2 separate regions of the Mus musculus genome follow, and region 2 is reported to be linked to region 1. Evidence: microRNA targets listed by miRTarBase, many of them from high-throughput screens and not tested one by one. Region 1 holds a microRNA gene; the other region holds the end of a gene's coding sequence.
What was found. Region 1 holds the annotated microRNA mmu-miR-96-5p (UUUGGCACUAGCACAUUUUUGCU, at 4,428-4,450, opposite strand). A microRNA usually pairs through its seed, bases 2 to 8, with sites in the 3' UTR of a target mRNA and lowers its output. Matches are read on the target gene's strand: a 7mer-m8 pairs with bases 2 to 8, a 7mer-A1 pairs with bases 2 to 7 and ends in A, and an 8mer does both.

Region 2: the mRNA of Chst1 is a reported target of mmu-miR-96-5p. Seed matches in the 3' UTR shown: 8mer at 1,829-1,836.

Annotation. Positions count from the first base shown.
Region 1 is chr6:30,165,079-30,172,195 of GRCm38, forward strand. Mir96 (microRNA 96) reads right to left here and starts at 4,473; the gene lies at 4,368-4,473. The region is part of intron 1 of Mirc35hg (microRNA cluster 35, host gene); the gene reads right to left. Mir182 (microRNA 182) reads right to left here and starts at 914; the gene lies at 840-914. It overlaps Mir183 (microRNA 183), which reads right to left and starts at 4,659; the gene lies at 4,590-4,659.
Region 2 is chr2:92,613,318-92,620,434 of GRCm38, forward strand. It overlaps Chst1 (carbohydrate sulfotransferase 1), which reads left to right. Exons shown (of 3, transcript NM_023850.2): 3 at 1-1,935. The coding sequence ends at 1,103. Among named protein-coding and RNA genes, the nearest start is that of Chst1, 17 kb to the left of the region's middle.

The sequences.
Region 1 (7,117 bases):
AAATAACTGAGGTCCTGGGGTGTCCTTAGAGAGAGAAAGACTTTAACTAAGGTCACACATACAGTCGTGCATCTGCAGAGTCACAAACATGTGTAGCTCCCAGGGCAGCTGCCTTGGTTACCTATAGAGACAGGAAATCAACCCTAGGGCCCAGACTTCCCAAACAGGCCCACCCCACCAAGGTCCTCCATCTAGGATAGTCACTGGCCCTAACTCCAGAGTTGAGTTGTAGGAACCTGCAGTCTAGACTGTCAGCACACTCTCACTGCGCCCCTCTGTGCTCAGGTGTCAGCAGCCTAGCCACAAAGCAGCGAGCTGGAGGGGCTAACACAGAGGCCGCAGCTCCAGATGACCTCAACACACTCCGTCCATATGGGAGCCTTCATTCCTTTACCCTTCTAGGGCCTGGGCAAGATTCCTAGATGTCTGAGTGGAGAGTATGCCATCTCCACCCTCACACCCCAGCCAGAAGCTCCAAAAGGGGATCGCATAGACCAGAAGACACTTCCTTGTGGCCTCAGAACCTACCTGAAGAACAGCCCTCAGGGGTTGAGGGCGGGAGAGGAAAAGCCATCTGTCTCTCCCTCACCAAGCTTAGGATTCCCACCATCCCTGTGAGGGCCACCCTGGAGCAAGGCTGGATCCCAAGTCCTTTTCACCGAGAAGAGGTCGACTTCATGACTTGTGACCTCAGGGGGGCGCAGGGAAACATTAAGGGTCACTTCCAGCTGCGCCCACCCTCTGCCACTGCCTGGTGGTCTGGAGACAGGAGTCCCCTCTCCTTCCTGGTGATCGGCAGGTTCCGGCACGGTGCAGACCTTCAGCAGCTCAGCACTTACACCATAGTTGGCAAGTCTAGAACCACCGGGTCCCATTACCTTACCGGTGTGAGTTCTACCATTGCCAAAAATGGTGGGAGGCCTCCAGCAGCCAGACCAGTAAGCCTATGCTGAAGAAGAAGCAGTTAGGGTGGTTTTAGGAGGGCGCTCTTCCCACAGTTAACACAAGGTCCAGACTATGGTCCTTCGGCCTGTATGGTCCTGTTCCAGTGTAAAACCTCCTCAAGCCCTGCCTGCCCTCCAGCCACCTCCCCCCCACCCCACGACCACCTCCCCCCCTCCCCACGACCCACAGTCCCTGTGTAGGGGCATTAGGCAGTGATGGAGCCATAGCCACTGCTCTCAAAGGCACTGTACCCCAGGAACCTGCCAGTGGGAGCTTGGGAATGGGTGCACTCTGGGTCAGGGAGTCCCCTGCTTGGTAACCAAGGAAGAGAGTGGCATGGGGCCAGCTTGCCATCTACCAAGGCCCCCAGGTGGCATCCTGTTTAATCCCTTCCTGACATTCCCCAGAGCCTAAAGTTCCTCAGCTGTCCCACCCCCCCACCGGGAGGGAGGTAAAAGGTCAATGCATAGATCCCACTTCCTTGTCAAGCCACAGGCAAACCACTGCCCGGCCTGTGGTCTCCTCCCTGAGGCTGGGGAGGAAGAACCCTAGGCTAAGACCTTCTCTGGAGAGTCTAGACAGCCATCACTGCAGTCTAGCAGGGCCAGCCAAGCGGAACACAGCTGCATTAGCACATCCACACAGCATTCTCCCAAGTGCAGAGATTTCCTTACCCATCCCTTCCAAAAAGACACACACCCCTGCAGCCTTCAAGGAACCCCAAAGATGGTACACTTCTTTGCCCCCAAACCACCCATGGATTCATTTCCATAAATCTAGAGGAACTGCTGGCTGGCAGGGCCAGTGATGGAAATGCCACCGGTCCCTCTGTCCTCCTGCAGGGCAGGGAGGATGAAGGACCCAAAGATGATGTTTTGGAAGGGCAGAGATGCAGACGAACCCTGGACACTCAAGCTGGTCACTGCCAGTGGCCTAAGCTTGGGTGCTGAGATGACTCCACTGCCCAGAGAAAAACTTGCTTTATAGCTGGGCCAGAATTGTGGGCCACATCTGTGATCCCAGTACTGAGTTCAGGGGCTGGGGTGATCTGCTTGGCAAGGAAGCTCCTTGAAACCTTGACCTAGAGTGTGTCCCCAGTGGGGACACAAGCAGGACCTTGGTTTCTTGGCCACATACCTCCCAAAGGCAGGCCACACATTTTTATCACATTATAAAGTGTTAAGGCAAGCCACTGGTGAGTTGAGTGGGTCACTCCCTCCACTCCAGTGTGAGCGGGGAGGGTCCTATCCTGTCAGCACCCCTAACTGCTCAATCTCGGGCCACACTAGCTAGGCTGGGAGCGAGCAGCCCCGCCTGCCTGCGATCAATGGAGCCAGATCGCATTTCCAAGAGCCAGAGGACTGCAGAGCTGGGGCAGGGACCCGGATAATGGCCTGGATTGAATAAGCAAATGCAGGGGTGGGGGAAGGGCGAAAGTCTGGAATAATCCACCTCACAGGGACTCTGGGGAGCGGCTGGCCCAGGCAACCCCAACACCAGGCAATGAGGCAAGGAGCCTACCCAGGAGGCAGCAACTCAGGCACCTAGGAGCCACCGAGCCCGAACAATATAAGAAGGTCCCCAGTGGATTAAACTGCACCAACTGCCCTGAGAGGGTAAGGGTAAATCCTTCCGCAGGATCAGACAGCCAGGAAGAAACTGGTCCTGCTTGACAGGGTGAGCCCTCCCCTCCTACCGCACCCTCACCAGCATGGTCCTCTGGAAGCTGATTTTCTGCGGAGTCCAACCAGCCTTGTGGCCTCTGCTCACCGGCAGTCACTACTATAGGTGAACTTTCACCCAGGTCGAGAACAGGCTAGATGAGGAGAACCAGAAAGCTATGGCCAGTGGTCATCCTTTGGGAATGCAGGCCCCAGAGGGGTGGAGCCCTGAGCCTGGAAAGAAGTATAGAACTGGGCCATACCAACACCTGCTAGTGAGGTCTCAGCAAAGCCTCCACCAAGGCCAGTGTGAGAGGCAGGACCACTAGGGGTCTGAGGACTGCTTTGGTTAGAGGGACCCAGCTCTGAGTGGCCCCCTGAGTGCTGGACAGGAGCAGAGTTGGGTTCACAGAGGCAAGACCCGAAACAGAGACCTCACCAGGGTGAGGCGGTGAGGTCTCTTCCTGTCCTTCCTTTTCCCGCAAGTGCTCAGATAGCCTTCTGCACAGGACATTAGTGCCATACCCCAGAGACTTATGGAAGCCCCCAGTTGGCAGTAGTAGGTCTAAATGTCCTCGCTATCCAACACAACTCTCAGGGCACCCAAGCAGGCGGGCGGCCCTGGATGCTCAGGCACGTTCCTGGTGAGCAGTCAACTGGATTGGTTGATCTCTAACTTCCAGACTCAACTGTACACATTCCCCTGGCCTGGCCCCAGCCCTCTTTAGCTTGGCCACCTAACTGTAACTGGACTGAGTAACTGGCTCTTGCAAGAAGTTCCCCTTCCCCAGGGAGAAGCAGTCTCATTAGGGGCTGGCCCAGTAACTTCAGATATGATGGCTACCAGATGGTCAGTGGACCAGCTTAGTCAGCTCAGCTCTCACTGCCTGCTAACCACCAGGGCTTCACCCAAGAGCCTGGCTGGTGGGTGGGCTCTTCTAAGCCCTATGGACCAGGTCCAGATCTAACTCATTTTGAAGGCCAGGGATATATGAAGGGTCAGAGCCAAGATTCACCCAGCCACAGGGGGCAGGGGTGTGTGAGCACTCTCCACAGAGCAAGGCCACTGGAGGTCAATACATTGTCGTGACTGAAGAGAGGTAGCGACCCTACTTCACTACTAATGGACCTCCAGCCTGTCCCTCCATCTGTGAGATGACTCTTTACAAACTGGTGCAGCTGTTCGAGATCAGAGCTTACATACACAATGTTACATAACACATATATGGGCAGCTTAGGGACATTAAGTCACAGGGACTCCAAGGATGCAGGAAACCAACACTAGTGGGTGGATGGAAAGGCCACAACTGAGCCTTCCAGAACATTCCCAGCCCTCCACACTAGTATCCCTCTCATCACTGACCTAAGGTAAGCCACTGATGGTAGGCTCTAGGGACAGCCACCCTCATAAAACACTCATGCTGAGCACAGGATATCCCATTGCTTGGAATTGCTTCCTTGGAATCCTGTAGCAGAAGGCTAGACCCCAAAGACGGCTCGCCTTAAGGAGGAGGAGCCCAACAGGGCATCACAGAAGCTGGCCCTACAGATGGCGACCCCCACCCCCACCGCAAGCATCTCCATCTGTTGGCCCAGCTCGGATTGCCCAGCTCCGACTCCACTCTGGCCTCAGGCAGTGAAAGGTGATCTGGCTGTTCACCAGGGTAGGGCTGTACCCTCCTCACCCAGCAGTAAGCCAGATGGGCCAGGGAGCCAGTGAGACACACAGACCCTGGGATGCCGGGGGAGGTGAACGTGGCCGCAGCAGCCCGCTTTTCCCATATTGGCACTACACATGATTGCTCACAGCGGAGAGACACAAGCAAAAATGTGCTAGTGCCAAAATCGGCCAAGCAGATGGTACTGGAACAGGCCCTCTGGGGAAGGAGCAGAGGAGGTCTTTGTACCCTGGCACCCCTGGAAACAGAGGTCTAGGCAGAAAGGGGTGAGGAGCTCCAAGGTGCTCGCGGATCTGTCTCTGCTCTGTTTATGGCCCTTCGGTAATTCACTGACTGAGACTGTTCACAGTGAATTCTACCAGTGCCATACACAGGACAGGAGTCACACTCTCCAGCCTGCAGACCCTGCAGAGGGGTCAGCTGCCTTCTCCTGGAGGTCCTACAACCTACTCCCCCCACCCCACCCCCACTGCTGTCATCCGCAGTTTAGCAACCCTCCTCACCAGCTCTTCACCAGCTCGTTGTTGTGCACTAGCCCAAATTGTCCTTCAAGAAGACAAGGACAAGTGAGGAGAAAGTCTGATTTCTTGGACTTGCAGAGGGCAGCAGAGTTTCCCATCACATCCCAATACCATCACCCAAACAAGCCACCTTCCTGCCAAGGTCAGCAAGCAGTTGCCAGATCCTCATAACCTAGGGCACTGGACCTCACCTACTCCCAAGTGGGCAGTGACAAGAACATCCAATGTGCTTCTCATGGCCTCTCGGCACAGAGGCCAGCAGTCCTGGCTTGCCCAGTGACACAAGCAGAGGCCCAGAAGGCAGGACTGCAAAGTGTCCCCGATGGGCACCTTTGTGGCTTGACCAGGGCCAGGATCAGGGCAGGGGGCTCCTTCAGACAAGGAGGCAGCTCGGAAGGAGCCAGGGTGAACTGTTTCTGGCAGGAGCCCTCGGAAGCAGCCTCTGGAAGGTTCTGAGAGTACTTTGGAGGACGGTAGAGGCTACAGAGCCAAGGGAGGGCTGGGGCGGTTGCGTCAGTGGTTGCTACAGCGGCTGCCACGAGAGAAGGCAGGATGGAGGCCCTTGCCTCTGGTACCAGGTGCCCTGGGGATGGAGGAAAGAGGGAGGGTAAGTCTCTCTGGAGCTGGTGCCCAGGGCATGAGAGCTGGAGACACTGTGGAAGAGGCAACACAGGCTCAGCCTACCCTTAGGCCGGCCTGGAATCCACAGGGAAAGGTAGACGGAAAAGGGAAATATACGGGAAGGGGTCAGATAGAGTTCTCCAGCTCAGAAACCTTATAAGCCTTTACTCCAGGCTAACCCCACTGTAAACCTGTTATCAGTCCTGGACTTGGTAACATACTTGTGGGGCTTTGACCGAAAACTCACTATTTGCTGACTCTGGAGCTCTAGCTCACCTCCCAAAAGGCCATTTCATCTTGGTAAGATGGACACTCCCTGGCCTGTGGCCTCAGTTTCCCCCACTATAAATCTCTGAACTTAGAGGAGTCAAGCGGGGGTGGACAGCTATAGTTACTGGTGTGTTCTATGTGGCTCAGAGTGTTTCTCAGAATCACTAAGGAGTCCCCTGAAATGGAGCTTTGTGGCCCACGAGGAAACCTACAGTTTAATATGAACCTGGGGAATGTGAGGCTGGGAAGGAGAAGCTATTTAGAGTTGTGCTTGGAAACAGCTTTCTCTAAAGATGCAGGATATTTTGGAAACAGTATTCTAAAATCTTTTTCCCCCCCCCATTTCAATGGAACAGAGGAGTAGCAATGGGGGAAGGGCCTTGGGAAGATTGAGACACACTCAGGGTACCAATGTCCTCCTGAGAACTCAGTCTGGAGCACCCAGGAAGGAATGAAGCACCATAAGAGAATAGCCCTGTCGGATCAAGTGCCTGGCATGCCCGCCCTTTTGCCTACATCTTCCTCTTCTGTAACTGGAGGGGATGGAGAGCAGGAAACTGCTTACAGAGCCAAACACCCCTTCAGCATCCAGTTCTAGTCCGCTGAATGAGGCTCCTCCCTGCGCTGCCTTGCCCCTCCTAATTCAAATGCGGCAGGAAGAGAATGCTGCGGTACCCAGGCAGGGCCACACCCATGGCCACAGCCAGAGTCCACCCAACACACAGCAGAGCAGGAATACCTAGACCTTAGTTGAAGCAGAACCTGTCCTGGGTCAGAGGAAAATAGGCTCTCCTGAAACGGGGACAGTGGAGTTCTGCAAAAACAACCCTGGTATTCTACAACGGGGAGCCATGACGGGGCTTTGGCAGGACAGTCTCTTATGCTCTCTGTGTAGGTCAAAACCCTGACCTTGAGATTAAAGGCTAAGAAATTCCTCTTCTGACTGTGGGAAAAGGTTGTGTCCCAGCCTGGTAGGTGTGAACAATTAGAGCATCAGAGTTGGTGTGTAAGGAGGACTGGCAGGGGCACAGGATGTCCTCCTGGGTGAGTGTGTATCCTACATCCTCTGCCAGGTCTCCCTCCCCTAGCCCTACTCCCCTTAGGCATGTCTTGTCTCTTTGAAGAATCATCCCTCCCTTGGCCAGGTATTGGGGTCGGGGGTCTTTCCCTGGGCTCTTGCTCTGTAGTCAGACCTATATGTGCCTCTTCCCCCTGCCCCCCCCCCCCAGCCTACCATTCTCAGTACCAGAGCTCCCTAGAGGTGAGTGGTTCGGGTGGAGTCTTTAGGGATCTTTTGCTAACATTCAGCAACTGTCACCATCAACCCCTACACATCGAATCTAGAGTCTCTGTTGCGAATCTTCCCACCAGCGATTGGCCCAGCACGGATCACTTATATCTCCATCGAATGCTGCAAAGG
Region 2 (7,117 bases), not on the chromosome of region 1:
GGCTGTGTGAGGAGGGCCCTACCTTCTCCTACAACCTCTCCAGGAAGACCCACGTCCTGATCCTGGCCACCACACGCAGTGGCTCTTCCTTTGTGGGCCAGCTCTTCAACCAGCACATGGATGTCTTCTACCTGTTCGAGCCGCTCTATCACGTCCAAAACACGCTCATCCCCCGGTTCACCCAGGGCAAGAGCCCCGCAGATCGCAGGGTCATGCTAGGTGCCAGCCGGGACCTGCTGAGGAGCCTTTATGATTGTGATCTCTACTTTCTGGAGAACTACATCAAGCCACCTCCAGTCAACCACACCACCAACAGGGTCTTCCGCAGAGGGGCCAGCAGGGTCCTTTGCTCCCGTCCAGTGTGTGACCCTCCAGGGTCCTCTGACCTGATCCTGGAGGAGGGGGACTGTGTGCGCATGTGTGGCTTGCTGAACCTGACCTTGGCAGCCGAGGCTTGTCGTGAGCGCAGTCATGTGGCCATCAAGACTGTGCGGGTGCCCGAGGTGAATGACTTGCGGGCTCTAGTGGAAGACCCCAGGCTGAACCTCAAGGTCATCCAGCTGGTGCGAGACCCTCGTGGCATCTTGGCTTCTCGCAGTGAGACCTTCCGGGACACCTACCGGCTCTGGCGGCTTTGGTACGGCACAGGGAGGAAGCCCTACAACCTGGATGTGACACAGCTGACCACTGTGTGTGAGGATTTCTCTAGCTCTGTGTCTACTGGCCTCATGCGGCCCTCCTGGCTCAAGGGCAAGTACATGCTGGTACGTTATGAGGACCTGGCCAGAAATCCAATGAAGAAGACAGAAGAGATCTACGAATTCCTGGGTATCCCCCTGGACAGTCACGTGGCACACTGGATCCAGAACAATACGAGGGGCGACCCCACTTTGGGCAAGCACAAATACAGCACAGTGCGCAACTCTGCAGCCACAGCTGAGAAGTGGCGCTTCCGCCTCTCCTATGACATCGTGGCCTTTGCCCAGAATGCCTGCCAGCAGGTGTTGGCTCAGCTGGGCTACAAGATGGCCAACTCAGAGGAGGAACTGAAGAATCCGGCCATCAGCCTAGTGGAGGAGCGTGACTTCCGCCCTTTTTTGTGACCTGGGTGTGGTGGGGGTGGGAGGCAGGTGGCTCTGGTTTTGCTGACGCGGACCTACTATGGGCCGTCTTTAACTGTTGCCTTATCTCCCTCCTCCCTCTCCCACCCTGTCTGTGTATCCATTCCAGCCCCTGCCCACTCTCCCCTTTCCTTCGCCTCTCCCACACCATCTGTGTGTCCTTCTTGACCTTGCCCACTTCCTTTTCTCCTGCCTCTTTTTGCCCCTGAAATTTGCACTATGTCTCTGGAGGGGAACACTGGGCAGAGGGCGTATGATGTGGGGTTACTCCCCCCACCCCATTTAGACACAAGGATGTTGGGTCTCTGTGAGGATGGGGACGATGTTTACAGGCACCCAATCGCACATTCATTCACACGTGCACACAGGCACACGATGAGAGGCACCCCAGCACACAACTGGTAGTTTTGCAATTGTCTTCTCAAGGTAAGAGGATGGACACAAAGGGGCCGTACCTCCCCAGTTTAAGGAAAGGGTCCATCCCCGCCCCCTTCCTGCTCCCTCCCCTGGAGTAGGGCACCCGTCCCTCCTGCACACCCTTGCCTGGTGGTGAGCAGGGTTTTACTGTGAGGTGAATTGGGACTACTTTCTATTTGGTTTGTGGTGAGCTTGTCTGTCTGAGTCTTGTGGCTACCCCTAGACCAGTAATGGCTAATGAATCTTAGAAGTTTCTGATTGATCTTGGGGTCCCTCTGTGCTATTTCTTTGTGCCAAAAAAAAAAAAAAAAGACAAAAAAAATGTGGATCAGTTTGCAGAGTGAAAATTGAAATGCTTTATTTGTGTTTTCTGTAAATAAAAATGTGCAGTACTGCCTGAGTGTGATTTGGGGGAAGTCTTCGGAATGGTAAGCAATGGGATTTGGATATCCCCAGCTTAGGAGGGAACAGGAAGAAGGAAAAGTGGGAATTAAATGGCAAACCTGCCTTTCAGAACTATTTTATTAAAACAAAACAAAAACAAAAACCCTAGACTATCCTTTTAAAGTTCTTTGATGATTGCATACATGTAAAAGCTCTGCCTTGATCTTATGATCCCCACCCCCACCCCCTACCCCATCACCCAGGAGCCTCCAAGTCCCCATTCCATTCCCTCGAGGAGGTCCTGCCATTCAAGTCTCTTGCCACCCTCCATGCTGGCTTGGGGCTTTCAACTCTGTTGCCTTCTTATCAGCTGAGGTGGGCGGTACCTTCTGGTCAGGGTGCTCAAAGTATTTAAGAAGACGCTTGGGGATTCAGAGTCCAAGGAAAGAGTCAGGTCTGGAGAACTCCTGTACCAGAGGTTCCTCCTTTAGTTAGGGTTTGGGGGCCACGGAAGCTGGGGAGAAGGGGCATCCAATGTGCGGGTGGCTCAGGGCAGGATTGCTTATAAACCTGCCTGGAAGCTATCTCAGGAGCCAGCCACGTTTCTGGTGCACACCAGTGCCAAACTGCTGTGTTCACTCTCCATCTTTCCTTGACGATCTAGCAGGCTCTTCTAAAAAAACTCCCCCAGTCTTCACCCCAAGACACATGCATAACATGAGATTTCTTAAAAAGTGAAAATGGAGTGTCTTACCATGATTTAAGAACTAAAGAGAAACTGCCCCATCTGCCTGGTTAGATAGGTGACCCAGTATTGAACATCCCTCCATGGCCTCTGCATCAGCTCCTGCTTCCTGACCTGCTTGAGTTCCAGTCCTGCATCCTTTGGTGATGAAGAGCAGTATGGAAGTGTAAGCTGAATAAACCCTTTCCTCCCCAACTTGTTTCTTGGTCGTGATGTTTGTGCAGGAAGAGAAACCCTGACTAAGACAGGGAGGAAAGGGTTTATTCAGCTTACACAATCACTTTGCTTGCTCATCACTAAAGGAAGTCAAGACTGAAACTCACAGGGTAGGAAGCAGGAGCTGATACAGAGGCCATGGAGGGATGTTACTTACTGGCTTGCTTCCCCTGGCTTGCTCAACTTGCTTTCTTGTAGAACCCAAGACTACCAGCCCAGGGATAGTACCACCCACAAGGAGCCCTCCCACCTTGATCACCAACTGAGAAAATGCCCCACAACTGGATCTCATGGAGGCACTTCCCCAACTGAAGCTCCTTTCTCTGTGATAACTCCAACCTGTGTCAAGTTGACACACAAAATCAGCCAGTACACTCTCAAACCCCAAAATCTCATGTAGTCCAGGCTGGCCTCAAAGTCAGTAGGTAGCCAAGGATGATTTCAATGTTTGATTCTCAACCTCCTAAGTGGTGGGGCTATGGGCATGTGTTGTCACACTTGGTATTATGGGATGCTGGGATTGACACCATGGCTACATGCCCACTAGGCAAGCATACTACTAACTCGGCCACACCCCAGCTCTGCAGTAGACTTTTATTTTGGAAAGTCTCCCACTTTTAGGATAAGGCCAGATCCTCGCGCTGTTCTCTGTAGCCCTGCACATGCCAGCCTCTGTTCTTCTCGGGCTGCATTCTCTTATCTCCGTGTTTATTTCAGCCCTTGAACACTCTGGGGTAGACTTCTGCAGCCACGGCCGCCATCCATTGACACACGCCTCCCTCTAACCGTGGGCCATGAACTGTGTCTGCTCACACCTGCTTTGGGTTTAGCCAAGTGCCTTGTTTTGGTCAGTAAAATGAGACTGCTGCAGGGGTAACAGAGAGGCTGTCTCCTCTGCCACGTGAGGTAAGCTCCAGGGTAACTTGCCAGAGAGTTTAGGACCACAGGCTAGGTACTCAAGGACCTGCTAAGGCCACTCACAGTCTGGTCCGGGTAGTTACAGGCAGCTGGCTGAGTTTAGCCAGGGTTCTGACTCAGCACTGAGGACAAGAAGCACGCTTGTGGCTTGAAGATTCTGAGCTTCAGCACAACTTACTCCGTGGCCAGATCTGACAGACACATAGACTCTGCTCCATGCCGCAGTCTGTACAGCCTGTTCCTCATGTCTGAGCTACAACTGTTCCTTTCCTTAGTTAAAGTCTGTTCGTTCTTTCGATCCCAACATAATTATCAGCACTTCCTTAATTTTACCAGGTCGGCTGATTTATCTCGATCATGGGCCCTTATATAGCTGCTTCTCTATCTTATATATCCCGATCACAGTCCCTTATAGCGCCGTGCACATCTCTTTTATCGTGTTTACTGCAGTTGTAATCACTCCTTTTACAGCAGGACCCAGTGCACAATGGGTGTCCAGTAAACACTGGCTGATCGAGTACAAGAATGAATGAAACAGGTGTTTCCAGGCTGATAAAAGAGCTTGCCCCGTCTGGGGCCTTCACATGGAGCAGGCAAAGTCTCTCAAGGATCTGAGAGATCGGGACAGCTTGTGTCCTCCCAGGAGGTGCTGCCATGTGCTAGGAGGCTGGGCTTGGTTCCACATCCTTCCCCAACATCCTTAGTCGGCACACGGCACACCAACATCAGCATTCCAGTGCCCTTGTGATTTCATCACCTGCCTTGATGTTTGTTGTGTTTGCTGGGCTGACACCCTGAGCAACAGTGGCTGTCACACGGTCTGAACCTACAGTTTACAAATCACCCTCACCTGTGAGTCAACCTTCTCCTTCCTGCTGACCAAGGAAGCCCCTCTTTCTAGCCAGGAAATGATGCTCACAGTGCCACGTACACAGGACTGGCCCCGAACCCACTTCTGTGTGTTGTTCCAGAAAGCTGAGATCCTGAGGCATGCAGGAGTCACTTCCTGGTCTTGTCCCCAGACTCAGGGCCGGCCTCACGCTGTGGAACTAACACTGGCTACATCCTGTATTTTCTTGCAGCTCACACTTCCTCCGTTTGTGTGTTCCTACCTGCTCACCTGCTAGTCACAAACACATGGCATGAGAGCCCAGGGAGCCCAATAGGACCTCACTTCCTATAAATGAGGAGGATATTGTCTAAGAACAGACCCACCTTCCTGGATTATCCCCCTCTGCAGGAAAACCTCTCTCTGGGGAAGGATCTCTCTAGGCCAGAATGCCTTTCCTGGTCGGAAAAACTCACATGTGGAAGAAGAGCCTTCCTGCACTCAGAGAGAAAGCTCACAGGCAGCAGTGTCCTGAAGACTGCAGAACAGGTTGGCCAGAGCCAAGCCTCAGGAACAATCGCCATGGTCAGAGCTCAAGTCCAGCTGCAGCCAGTGACTGTGTGCTCACATGTGCATGTTCCAAGGGAGCTCAGTCACACTGAGGGGCTGTCTGGCCTGCAATCCTGCAGCCTGCCTCCCAAGGCACCCACAAGACATGCCAGGGCTTCCATGAGAACATCTGCTGAATTTGAGTCTTGCCTCTCCTGGAACTGTTATGATCGAAAGTCTGGCTCTAGGTTGCTGTCTGGTCTCTGCCATTTATTTACTGTGTGACTCAAGGGAAACCACTTCATCTTTCTGTGCCCTCCATAGTACAGAAGTAATCATGAGACCTGCCCTCAGAGGGATACGGTGAAGATGTCCTAAGTTTGGGTGGTATATTTAATTGCACAGAGTAGAGCTTAGGCTGTGGACAGTGCCCAGTTCGTGCTAGCTATTGTCACTGCTACCATCATCATCATCACCACCACCACCATCACCATCACCATCACCACCACCATCATCACCATCACCACCACCACCACCACCACCACCATCACCACCACCATCACCACCACCACCACCACCATCACCACCACCACCACCACCATCACCACCACCATCACCACCACCACCACCACCAACACCACCATCATCATCACCACCACCATCACTATCACCATCACCATCACCACCATCACCACCACCACCACCACCACCACCACCACCACCACCACCATCACTTTAGCCATAGTGCCTCCTCAGATGCTGGAATGTAACAGCCATTCAATGAATTTTTGTTGAACAAGTACATTTGAGGGTTTCTCATTTGAACTATTATCAGTGGCTACCGTGTTACACTTCAATAAGATGACAAATGACGTCTGGTTGGCAAAGGCCTAAGAGGAGGGAAGCAGGTAAGTCTGAGGTCCCCATAGAATGATGGCTGTGCACAAGGACAATCTTGCCCATCCAGGCTTCACCAGAGGATAAATGTTGGCCAAGTGTTTTCATTTCATTTTTGCTGCTGTGATAAAACACCTTGGCAGAAGGCAGCTGAGGGGAGAAAGAGTTTATTTCAGCTCCCAGGTACAGGTGGTCCTCCCTGTAGGGAAGACATGGCGGCAGGAGCTTGAAGCTGCTGGTCACATGATAGTATCATTCACTGCTATTCACAGTGTTAGCCTGGCAGATGACAGTTAATGTCAGAGTGCCACATCCAAAGTCAAGAACAAGGGAGTCAATGAGTGTGTGTGCACGGATGCTTAGAGCCACAGCCCAAAGTATCCAGGGCCCAAAGCCAGAAGCGTTCCTACCACTTTTAGACTGGATCTTCTTGATCTTCTTAAGTCAACCAAGGAGGTTCCAAACGACTCACAGAAGAAAGGGTTTATTAGTCTTCCACTTGGACATCCCAGTTCATTATGGAAGGACATCAGGGCGGAAGCTCAAAGCAGGAACCTGGAGGCAGGAACTGAAGCGGAAGCCACGGATGAGTGCTGCTTATTGGCTGGCTACCCAGGGCTTTTCCAGTCTGACTTTTTATATGAGACCCCCTGCCCTGAAGTGGTACTGACCACAGTAATCTGAACCCCCTCACATCAGTTATTAATCAAGAAAATGCCTCAACAGACTTGCCTATAGACCAATCAGATGGTGACATTTTCTCAGTTGTGGCTCCTTCTCAGATGACCCTAGATTGTGTCAAGGTGACAAAAACCAAAAAACCAAAAAATAAAACCCAATCTTCACAACTTGTGAAGAGCTAAGATTTTCTTTCCCAAGATCTAGGGGAGACCCCTGTTTAGTGAATTCACTGAGGAAAGGGGCAGGGTTTTGTTTGTTTGTTTGTTTGTTTGTTTGTTTGTTTTTGTCTGTCTCTCCCTGGAAATAGCTAGCCAGCTACATCCTCCTACTGAGACTTCCTTCTGTTACACTCCAGCAGAC